2 linked regions of the Oryzias latipes genome follow. The protein of the gene in region 1 purifies or fractionates together with the protein of each later gene. This does not show direct contact. Links are inferred from orthologs where the notes say so. Each region holds a gene or a part of one and is shown on either strand. Other genes may lie near its edges.

What was found. The genes of interacting proteins can lie anywhere in the genome.
Region 2: the proteins of kat2a (region 1) and taf10 purify together in Homo sapiens (affinity purification with mass spectrometry; 8 studies listed by BioGRID and IntAct, with this or other methods). This does not show direct contact. The link is inferred for Oryzias latipes from reciprocal best matches to the Homo sapiens genes KAT2A and TAF10.

The regions. Positions count from the first base shown.
Region 1 is NC_019866.2:6,156,614-6,162,396, forward strand, and holds the start of kat2a (histone acetyltransferase KAT2A), read right to left. Parts: upstream 3,465-5,783; 5' UTR 3,431-3,464; coding exon 3,161-3,430; intron 2,919-3,160; coding exon 2,795-2,918; intron 866-2,794; coding exon 720-865; intron 1-719. UniProt on the Homo sapiens protein: Protein lysine acyltransferase that can act as a acetyltransferase, glutaryltransferase, succinyltransferase or malonyltransferase, depending on the context.
Region 2 is NC_019865.2:7,761,586-7,767,429, reverse strand, and holds taf10 (transcription initiation factor TFIID subunit 10), read right to left. Parts: upstream 3,672-5,844; 5' UTR 3,422-3,671; coding exon 3,289-3,421; intron 2,972-3,288; coding exon 2,814-2,971; intron 2,654-2,813; coding exon 2,589-2,653; intron 745-2,588; coding exon 630-744; intron 524-629; coding exon 434-523; 3' UTR 239-433; downstream 1-238. Other genes in the region: uncharacterized protein LOC101174996, read left to right, coding at 4,536-4,628, 5,404-5,488, 5,570-5,643, 5,743-5,802. UniProt on the Homo sapiens protein: The TFIID basal transcription factor complex plays a major role in the initiation of RNA polymerase II (Pol II)-dependent transcription.

The DNA.
Region 1 (5,783 bases):
GCCAAAAGGGCGTAAATCTAAATGTGATCCCGGTCCGTGGGCCAAATTCAAGACTTTTTTGCAAGTCATGAAATAAAAGAAGAGAATAAAGAATATAGTTTAGGTTATTTATTTGTATTTAGTATTTTTCAAGGCAACACACATTAGTGAGACTTAAAAGTTAGTAACATTTTTCTTTGAATCTCTCTCGATCTCCCACTCTCGGCATTTAACGCCGAACCTTCGTAGCTAGCCAACGTGGCGCTGTCCCCTGCTGCCGAGGGCATCTTGAGGGTGGCTTGCTGTGACAAAAGTTTAGATTGGAACTCTCTAGAATTTGTCTTTTGCGCCTCACCTTTGTGTTTGGATAAAACTGCGTGTTTAGTCTCGTAGGGTCGGCGTATATTGTACTCTTTAAGTACAGCCACGGACTGCTGACAAAGAAGACTAACAGCCTGAGAAGAGATTTCTGGAGAAAAATAATCCTCCTCCCATATTTGTTTAAAATGCCTCTTGTCCGTTTGCTACTTCCGTTGTCGCTCCATGAATGAATAGAAGAGGTTAAGGGGTTTTAACTGAACACTCCGTGGCCTCTACAGGCTTGGTGGGCCAAAAGACGACCTTTGCTGGGCCATATTTGGCCCCCTTGGATTAGAGAATAAAACATCAATTTGCCCCTCACCACTTCCACCCAAACGCTCAAAAAAAACACCCCAAAACCCATAGAACCATAACGCTACCTTGAAGAGGTAAAAGTACACTTGTTTGGTATCAGTGTCCTCCTCTTTGTGCACAGACATGAACAGGTTCTCCACGTCAACCACCATGCCCAGCAGCCTGTTGATCTCCTCCTCAGACACATTCTCCAGATGAGACACGTGCTCCGCTGCAAAACAATTACCGTACAGTCAATGCATATGTTCTACTGGGATCTCTTTATATTTTCAAAATTGTACTGAAGTTTGGGGAAACGTAGAAATCTGTAAATACTGCAAAAAAGAGCTATCAGAACAATTGACGTACTAGTTTTTAAAGAGATTCTTCTCTTTCAAAAACAGTTCAACTTAGAGCAACATTGTAAAAGTATTTTAAAAAGATGTGTGCAGCTAATACATTCTCATCACCACATGTGGCTCTTATTCCCCTTCATTGTGGCTCTTTGGCTAAAGTAAAAAAAAATTCATTTGAAAAAGTAACTTTATAGTAAAAAAATAATAATTAAGTAGTAACTTAAAGAAAAGTAAAATAGACAACCTCAAACTCTTTTCAAACAGGCCAAAGACAGTACGTAACACAAGTCAAACTAAAACATTAACTAAAAACTGAAACACGTTGAGCGCCGATAACCACAGAAAATCAATCGGAGGTCACCAAGCACAACCAGAATTTAGAAGCACTGGATTATAAAGCAGATTTTTTAATTCTTTTAAAACAATTCTTATTGATTTTAAGTGTACGGTACCTTGTGGTTTGAAATATACAATAAGGGTTACTTATTTAGCTCTTATTTAAATTTAGTTTGTTCGATTTACTCTTTTCTGGCTGAGATGGACCCCCAATGGTAAAACAAAGTGTGTGACATTACACTACCAATAAAAACATTAGCTGCTTTGAGAGGATCCTTTGTCTAAGGTGTCCTTTATTGAAAGGAAGTCATATGAATCTCGGCCAAAAGTTATACACCATTTCTCATTTTTCTTAAAAACAAACCCAGATATTTTCTCTTTGTTTATGCATAAAAACAACATTATATATATGCTGCTGTCTAAGTATGTAGCCAACAAGGGGGCCCAAGTTTGGGTCCCCCTGTGCCGGTCCCCAGCCCAGATAAAAATACAGGGTTGTGTCAGGACGGGCATCAGGTGTAAAAACGTGAAAGTTGATTCAATGTGGCGACGCCTGAAGGGCTATGTTGAAAAGTGAACAACAGCAACAATAACAAAAATACCAACTAATGTCTTATTTTTTAAAAGGCTAAAGTAAGACTTTGTAGCTCCTACTGGGTTGTTGTTGGTTAGAAATCCACCAAAAGTGTTAAAAGGTTGCAGACCTCTAGACTACACTATATATATATACGTTTTATCTTCAAACTTGGAAAAACAACTATACATGCATGAATATTGCACCAGAATAATACTGACTGTAAACATGACGCACAATATTAACCGCAATGTTCATTCTTAAAAACCAATTCCAGTAAAAATCTTGTTTTTGGTGTTTTTAACATCTTCTTGTAGCGTTTTTTCTCGTAATGGAGGACATAGATAAAGGAAATTAAGATTTAAACTGAGTTTCTGAGTATTTCTTCATTCAAATTGTGGTAAATCAGGAGCAGACGAAAACATGCCGTTGGAGAAAGCTTGTAATTGCTGCTGTAAGGAGAGCGCGGACACAAAGGGATGATGGGAAATGCGAGCAGGCTCAGTCCGTGCCAACAGTTCCACCCAAAACTCAGGTGGGTTTCTAATGCACGAACACGGCTCTTCAGAAACGATGTCCTAGAAACCCAAACGTTTTTTGATTTAGGCAAAATCTGCCTTATCATAATTACATCAAAAGATAATTGGAATGAGACTTTAAAGTCGCAGTTTCTGCACAAATTTTGCCATTAATCCCAAAGCCAGAGGAGGAACAACTAGTTTATTTTCTGACTATCACAGTAATGATGGGCATGTTTGCAAAGGGCAAACCGTGTATCTTGTGCAGAATCTGTAGTGTCGTCCCTCAGACGCATTAAACAGTGTGATGAGCCCTTCAGCGGTACTGATCTCCTGTTCTTAGTCAGTGGTTTAAATGGAGGCTGAATAGTTGGTACCCAGAGCATGTCCACAGCTGCGGCAGGGCTCGCTCAGGCTGGCTGCTTGCTGCTGCAGATCCAGACGGGTGGCTGACGGTGGGTTTGGGTTCTTCCATCCGTTGCATTTGCATGTGTCATTGGCCTGAGGACGCGAAGCACAAACAGTGAACGGCTATTCAGCGGCCGCAATGACTAACGGATCAATTACGCTAGCTGATGGGTTTGGCTACAGATTTGTGAATATAAATTATTTTTACAACAGTCGATGGAGGGGAATTAGTTGACGTTGCTCCACTTCTACTTTGTGCTCTAAACATATATTTATAAACGCTAATAAATCTCAAGACGGCTCTGTTGTGAACTTTGGCTAGCTACATTAGCTACCTTGCATGCGGAGAACACGCCAAGTTTCTCCAGCTTTTTCGCCCGTGGGAAAGCTCGAACTTGGGCTTTCTTCTGGCTAGCGCGCTGTTGCTGGCTGAGTCCTGGCCTAGCCGGGTCGCTATTGCCCGACCCGGAGCCTGTTGCAGCATTACCGGACCCAGCTGACCCAGCGGACTGGGTCTGTGGAAGCCGGGGTTGTGAGGCCTGCGCTGCCGGGTCCGACATATCCACGCTGCTGCTGGAGACTTCCTCTGTTGCCGTTGATCTCATCTGGTGCCTTCAGGTTCCGGGCAGAAAGCTGGATTTTACAAACACCAAAAGCTAAAAATTCAAATAAAAAATGTACACAGCATTAAAAGCATATTGTTTTAATCGTGAGTGAATAAAAACCTAAAATAAAATATTTACTATTTGAAAGGATCATTTGGCTATTTCTGGAAATTTTAAATGTACAGGTTCCCAGTACTGTAGTAAAGCGGTGTAGTGTCCTCTAGTGGAAAAACATGAAAGCAACACGTAACAAATGTTAGGCTCTATGTCAAGCTGTTCTAGAATGAAATCGGCATCCTTGTTTTAAGCCCAACTAGTAATGCCAAAAGTACAATTATTTAAAACGAAATGCCATAAATGTGAACTAGTTAACTAGTAATGTTTAGAAATATGTACTAGTTTACTAGTGGGCAATACTTGTGCTTACTGGTTGGTTAGTGACAATCTAAAAAGTCAACTGGTTAACTAGCTGCATACACATTTTCTACAGCTCCACTAGTAAGGCTCTTGTAAAGCTCACTAGTTAACTAGTGTGACCAAAATGTTTACTCCCAAACTCTGATCAATTTTTCCATTCCACATTATATATATATATGCACACACACACAAAAGGACAGACCCAGTTAACTGTAATGCAGAAGCTGTTTTTCTGGAGTACCTCTGCTATGGTCCACCTAGTGACCGTTTTAGGTATTGCAACTATGCATACCTCAATGAAGACTTTCAAAATTAAACACAATTATTTATGGAACTATATTGTTTCTTTATGTCTCAAAGAAACAGCTTTTCTCTCATTAAATGTGCAACTTTAAGACAAAATACATATTTTAACAGCAACAACTGTAAAGTGAGACAGTTATAAACAAAAAATGTTTTAAAATGTGGATTTATGCATGTAAAGATTATCAAAATTGTATAAGAAACCAGTCTATTATGAAATGTTTGACACTGGAAGTACTATACCTCATGTCAAAGCAATAACCGACAGGTTATCAGGTAACCTGTAAAGATGTGTGAAATTGTTTTAGGGTTTTAGGGTGGAAAAAATGAGTAGAAACATTTCCAAGCCTCTGAATTTCATTTTAAATTCAAAGATTTTTAAGCTATTTTCAACAAAATCATACATGAAAAGATGTCTACCCTCATTTATTCATGAAAGTAGAATCGTTTTTCCCACAATCCCTCCCTTTCAAGATGCAACGGCTGCTATTTTCCATGGTTGATGCCATATTAGGATGGATGACCCCCCTCCACCACCACCCTCAAAAAAAGTTTAAAAGCTGATGCCTCACTGATGTGAAAATTAAGAACAAAAAAAATGTGGTGAACGCTGGAGAACATCTCAATTCATAAAGATGATGAGACAAAACCAGTGCATTTAATACCAGAGATCTCCAGAAAGAAAAAGAAAAAAGGAAAAAAAAGAAAAAAATCACAAATTGTCTGACATAACATGTACAGATTGGGACGGTGTTTTGTCAAGATCTACATATTGATTATAAACCTGAAGAATCTGTTACAAATAAAGCAATGGTGTCAATACAATAGGGATTTTGGTCAAGAGGACAATTCTTATTTTTACACCGATGATTCAAAAAACATTAATGCTAAAATTACAAACAGGTGAAAATGTTAAAGTACTTTGTACTCCATATGGTTTGAAACCAGGTGATTGAAAAACCTCTGAAGTCAAGGTTTTAAAATCAAACAGATCCATCCGTGTCAAATAGTATAGAACTGGTGGAAGAAGAATCAATCAATCTACAGAGATCCATCAAGAAAATCATCTGTCCAGCCCTTTAGTTCTGGTAAAAGCCTCATCCTTTTTTTGGGAAGCCAATCAGGAGCAGGACAGAACATGCACCTTGATTTGTACCCAATGACTGGATGGAACCATTTCAGATGCATGTGGAAAGTGAAAACCAATAAAATAAGAGGGGCCCTACAAGCCTGGTTTTATTCTTTTTTTGTTGTATCCTTTTTTCTCTCTATACAAACAGAAAAGTGAACAAAGAAGGCGCAATTAAGTGCCATTAGTCATGAACGAGATCGTTGTTCTTCTCTCAAAGAAGACATGAAGAGTCCATCAACTGGAGGCGAGATCATTGGGCGAGTCCAGAGGTCACAGGTCGAATTCAGAAAGCAAAAGAAATGGATTTGTTGGTCTGTTGGTTTGAGCCATCCATGAGGTCCTGCAGTGTACTGGCCAGTCCACTCATTTTCCAAACAATAACTTGGTGCTGATGGGGTTGTTGGCCTGACCCTGCTTTGGTTTGACCTCTGAGGTATTGCCGGACAGCTGGCTAATTTCGGGTCTGGTTGATCGAAGCTGTAGATTGGATGGAGGAGTCGA
Region 2 (5,844 bases), on another chromosome or scaffold:
CTAACTCAAAGATGTTTGAAGATAAATGAAGACTTATACAAATTTATGGCCACAGAATTTTAAATGCTTTTAAATTTCTGATAAAGCACAAAATTTCTCAAAACCCAGTTGAATGACAATTGCCTATCCATGTCGGGCAAAAACACTTTAAATATTTCTAGAATTTAATGAGAATCTGTGACATTTTTACAAAAATATAGTGAAAACTTAATGTAACACATTACACGGAGAACCTGTGTTTTTTTCACAATAAAACAAAAGTTTATTGCTTAAAAAAAGAAAAAAAAGCTCCACAAAAATGACAGTGACCATAAGGATTTGTCAAATCTACCAGATCATCATCATCACAAATAACATTTAGCAGTAAAGATGGTGAAATGTTGCACCGTCCACAGTTAGATTATTACTAACAAAAGCCAAAAATAAAAATGTTTTATGTAAAATAATAAGGTTTTTTGACATTTACGCCATATTCAGAGAGGGCAGGAGTCAGGTCCTCCATCGTCAATGTGTACTTCTTGTCCTATAAATATGATCAATAAAAAGGTTATATTTAATAACTGAATTTTCTAAAAGAATGGATTAGAAAAAATCATTACAATACAAATTAAAAACTGACCACCACTCACCTTCGTCTTATTTCTGGAGCTTCCAGAGGCTGTTCCCTTCATTTTACAGTACTGCAGGGCATCATTGGCAATGTCAGAGATAAACTTTTGAGAGGCAAGGGAGATCAAACGGATTCTGCAAATATCCAAAAGAGAGTTATAAGTGAGTCTTCACATAGGGTTGAAATATTTGTGAACCCATAGAGTGGAGCATGACTAAACCTCACATTAAACTGTACAAAAAAAATTAAGCAACAAGAAATAAAACAACCTGTGAAGGATATGTACCGTAATTTCCGGACTATAGAGCGCACCTGATTATAAGCGGCACCCATTACATTTTTAAAGGATAAACCATTTCGTACATACATAAGCCGCACCAGTCTATAAGCCGCATGTGCCCACATTGAAACATGCGTCGTAGAATGAGGATGTGTATGTGCTGAAACCACGAGCGGCGTGTGTAAGAAAGAGGAAGGAGCGCGTACAGCGGAGGAAGGGGAGAGCTAGTGCAGCGCAAGAGGGAGGCTCTCACTCCTGCTCTGTTCGGGCTCCTTCCTCTTACACACACAGTGCGCTGACACACATACTCATTCTACAACACCTATGTAGTGAGTTTATTAGTTAGATAGTTAGTAGTTAGTGTTATTTTTTAATTAAGAATACTGCGTTGTAGTAGGTATTCATTAGCGACGTGGCCGCCAGGGAGATTTTGTGTTTGTTTGTTTGTTTTGTTGTTGTTGTTTTTTTTTTTTGGGGGGGGGGGGGGGGGGGTAAACCGCGACACAGCAACTCCTGCTGCTTCATCACTGCGGTGATCAAAAATCCCACACCGTCACAGCTGTTTTCCAAACAGTGCCTGTGACGCGGCAGGAACACGGCAGCAATATGGTTGTAACAGCACTAACAGAGCTGGTTAAAAAAAAACTACCGGTGAAAGTCACTGAGAGCAGCAGTAACTTATAGGCACACGCCTCCTGTGCTCTGAAACCATTGAGGTCTTCCTCCTCAGTGTCGGATTGGAATAGCATCAGATAGACTTCGCTACACACTCTCTCTGTGTCTCCTTCATTGTCAGTTTGTCCCTCTCATCCTGAGGCAAATTCTCTCCTGTGTTTGCGCTGTCCTCTCCGTCACGCAGCAGACCGGCTTCTCCAAACCCGTTGGTGATGGTATTTTTCACACTGCTTTTAACGATTGCTTTTAACTTGAAAGCTGCGTCATATGCATTTCGTCTTGCATTTTCCATGATGAGGGTCTGTTCGTGCTATTCATTCACAAAGCAGGAATTTACATAAAACTTGCGTCTTTCCTCAAAACATATACCACATTCCCCCTGACTCGCTCCTCCACCCGTTTTGCTCGAGTGGCCGTTAAAAAAAAACGCATGAAAATAAAATAATAAGAAAAAAATGCATAAATTAGAAGCATCATTGAATAAGAATCAGGGTTGAAAGCGTGTGACAAAAGTAGCGGTTTATAATCCGGAAATTATGGGTAATTGTAATACTATAATTGAACCTGCATGTTTAAGCAACACATACACAGTTAAGCATTACACAAGCTCTCTATGCATTTAAATCTAGTTTTTTAGCTGCATATTTAGGATGTATATTTGTTTCTCTCAGAATTCCAGATAAATTCATAAACAAATCAACTCAATCTTTATTTTTAAAAAGTATTTATCGTTCTTCGAGCAGCTCAAAGCACTTTACAATTAATTCCAATTCAAATAAACCCAACCAAATCCCTTTGCTTCCTCTGTTGACAAACACATTAAACCCCAAGCATAACTAATACAGGCATGAAAACATGACTGTTATTGAACACAGATCAGCTAGTATGTAATTTCTTTTTAGCTTTGCACAAAATTAAAAATCTGATTATCTTTAGAATTAATCATGCTACAACTTAGCAGATCACTACTTAAGCATTGATATCACACAAAATATGGACATATTTCTAGTTTCAATCACTTACATTCTTGGGTCAGAAGCCTCAAATCCAGCTCGGTTCAGATAATATCCCGTAACTGCATCAGGAATCTGCAAAAGAAATGGAAAAATACACGAGAGAGACTAAATAATCTAAATATTTTTACATGTAGTTACCCTGCCAGTACGACGTAAACAAAAATACAGCAGTTATCTCGTTTGAGCCAAGGCATCCCCATCACTAACTCAAAGGTAAGGGTGATAAATTTACCGTAGGAGTGTAATCCTCCAGCTGCATGAGGAAATCAGCCAGAGGTGTGGTGGAGACAGCAGGTTTCACATCCCCATTGGTTATGCCAGCGGGAACGTAGACTCCATTGGAGACTGATGAGTCTGCTGATGGAGTTGCCGGGGCTGCTGAAGCTGCAGCTGCAAAGTTGTAATTATCACTTAAATCAAATGTACTTATATTTATATACACACACAACACTTTTTGGGGCGGAGCTTAACTAAAAAATTTAGTTTTATTTTTTTAGCAGAACGAAATGTAAGAAATGCTTAACAGATAAAGAAAAACGTTTGTCGGACAATCCTCCAAATATGCATAAAAGACTCAGGAATGCATCAGTATGTGAATCAAATTGACTTAACTAGCAAAACCACAAATGTCAGATCATCAGATGGGGCATCGTCGTAGCACAACATTGTTAGCACAGATCTTGTTGACCAAAATTATGTTTCGTTACCATTGTTTGTGACCGAAGGAATGCTGCTGACGTTGGTTGTTGCATTGTCATTGGCAATGCAATTACTTGAAGCTGAAGACGTCGTAGACACAACTCCTGTTGTAACAGACGGATTTACGTTGTCTACATTCATGTTTATATTAGCTAAGCGCTAACCTCAAAAAGCTAACTCAGACAGATGTATGGAAATTTGTATCAAAATTTCTATATGGTGCTATATAGCAACACGGCCAGGCGTTTAAAGAGGTACTTTTGTTGATTTAAGAAACTTTTTTTGACTACGAGAACACTAAACACTACAGAAAACTATCAGTTGTTGTTTTTTTATCGTTGCTGTGAAAGCTTAGCCTGTGCTACAGCCGCTGACGTCATGTGACCGCGACAATACGTAGGATTTGATGACGTAAGCCGTATGAACCAACGGCTGGGGTTGCGTTTGAGATTATTTGATAATGCAACAACAGCAACCTCAACAGCGTTTGTAAACGTTCATAGTTTAGCTGTTTTACGATTGAGAAATATTTACAGTTGAACGACAGTTAGAAGATTAAGTCAGATTTAATAACCACGACCGGTGACAAAAAAAGTGCAGCCTTAAAAATAGTGAGATACATGTTAAGATACATTTTAGGTAACATATTAAACTGATTTAACTGGCAATGTGTTATGAACAAAGCACCTGTACTTTTTACGCAGGATGATTTGAATATTAAGGACCTTACCATTGCTAACGTTTATCTTTTTCTTTTTTTTTTTCACAACATAACGCGTTTATGACAGGAAAATTGTAGCTGTTTACGAGGGACATTGAACGCAGCAGATGGACAGCGACCTGACTGGCGCGTGGAGGCTGCAACTATTTACAAAGAAGTAGGCGTTGTGTGACTTTTATCGTCTTTGTGAAGAACATGTTTACTCATTGACCTCCGATGACTTTGCAGTTTCGTCTAGACAAAGCGCGGAGGCAAACAAAAAAGATCCAGCAGGTTTTGATAGTCGTGCTGGAAAAATTAGGTAGACATAACATCCTTTCGTGAAGTGGCGAATCATGTGGTCTTACCGGAAATTATGATGTGGAAATACGCCTTCTCCTATGTGTTGTTGTGTCTGTAAAATAGGATAGTGATTAATAATGGTTTGATCTTTAATACGTTTCTTTTACTATAGAAAACACTGTGCTGTTCGTAACCGGTGGATCTTCCTAGTCAAATGTTTACCATGTTTGATCTTCAGCTGAGTTTTAAAGAATGACTGCCACGGTCCGAGCAATCGTGATTGGAGCTGGTTGTCGGGGAGCGGGTTACTCCGAGTTTGCATTAATCCATCCTGAACGCATGAAGGTATCCTCTCTTTCTCCTCCTTCCCCTGTTTTTAGAGCCTCATTTGACACATATGACAAATAAAAGCATCATAACCAAATACATTTTTTGTAAACACAATTTTAATTGAACTTTTTCGGATCCCTGGCATTAGAAAAATTAAAGGGTATGACTTAGTATTTTGTGTGCAAAAACTATATATATATATATATATATATATATATATATATATATATATATATATATATATATATACATAATTTTAATTAGCATTTTGTAGGGACAAATTGCCCACAAATTTTCTATTTTAGTAGAGGGAATTGATGACAAAAATGTTCATTTGTGTGCACAAATTGTTATTAAAGTCCTAATTTTTGCCAAATGATGTATATTTATATACAGTTTTACTACCTTCCTAAAAAGCCCAAAGCACTATGCAGTCACAGTCCAATTCACCCATGCATACACACATTCACACACTAAATGTGTGCCAGACACTGGCACCAAACTATAACCACTAGGGGTATTGTGCAGGATTTAGTGTCCTGCCCAAGGCACTTCGATACATGGGTGCCCAGGGCAGGATCCTTCAATCAGATGTCGACTGCTCTACCTCTGCAGCATTTGTGCGCACAAAATACTAAATTATTCAGTCCAGGAAACACGTCTTTTTTTTTTCAATGGCATGTCCCAGGGTCCATGACTTGTATTCCCTCTTTTTATATAAAATGTGCTTGTAACCGGTTATGAGTAACTTTTTTTTCCTTCATTTATTTTAAAATAATTTCTATATCAGGTTGTTGCCGTTGCTGACCCAAGAAAGTTTGCCCGTACCAATCTTCAACAACAACATCAAATAGAGAATGAAAATGTCTTTGAAGGTATGAATTTATAGCATAAAAAAAAACTGAATACAGTGGCCCATAACGCCTTTCTTCTCAGCTGCATTCTGTTTTTAACAGACTGGCAAAGTGTGGCTGATAGAGAGAAGTTTGCAGATGCTGTGTTAATTTGCACACCAGATCGGCTTCACAAGGTAAAAAAAAACAGACCCCGTACATGATTTTTTTTCTACATAAACGGTGTTTTTAATATAAATAGAACTGTGTTTTTTTTTTTTTTAAATCTTTCTAAGGATCCTGCTGTGGCCTTTGCAAAAAAGGGATACCACATTCTTCTGGAGAAACCATTGGCAGTAAGTGTTTGTAGGAAAACTGAAATTATTATTGTTATGATT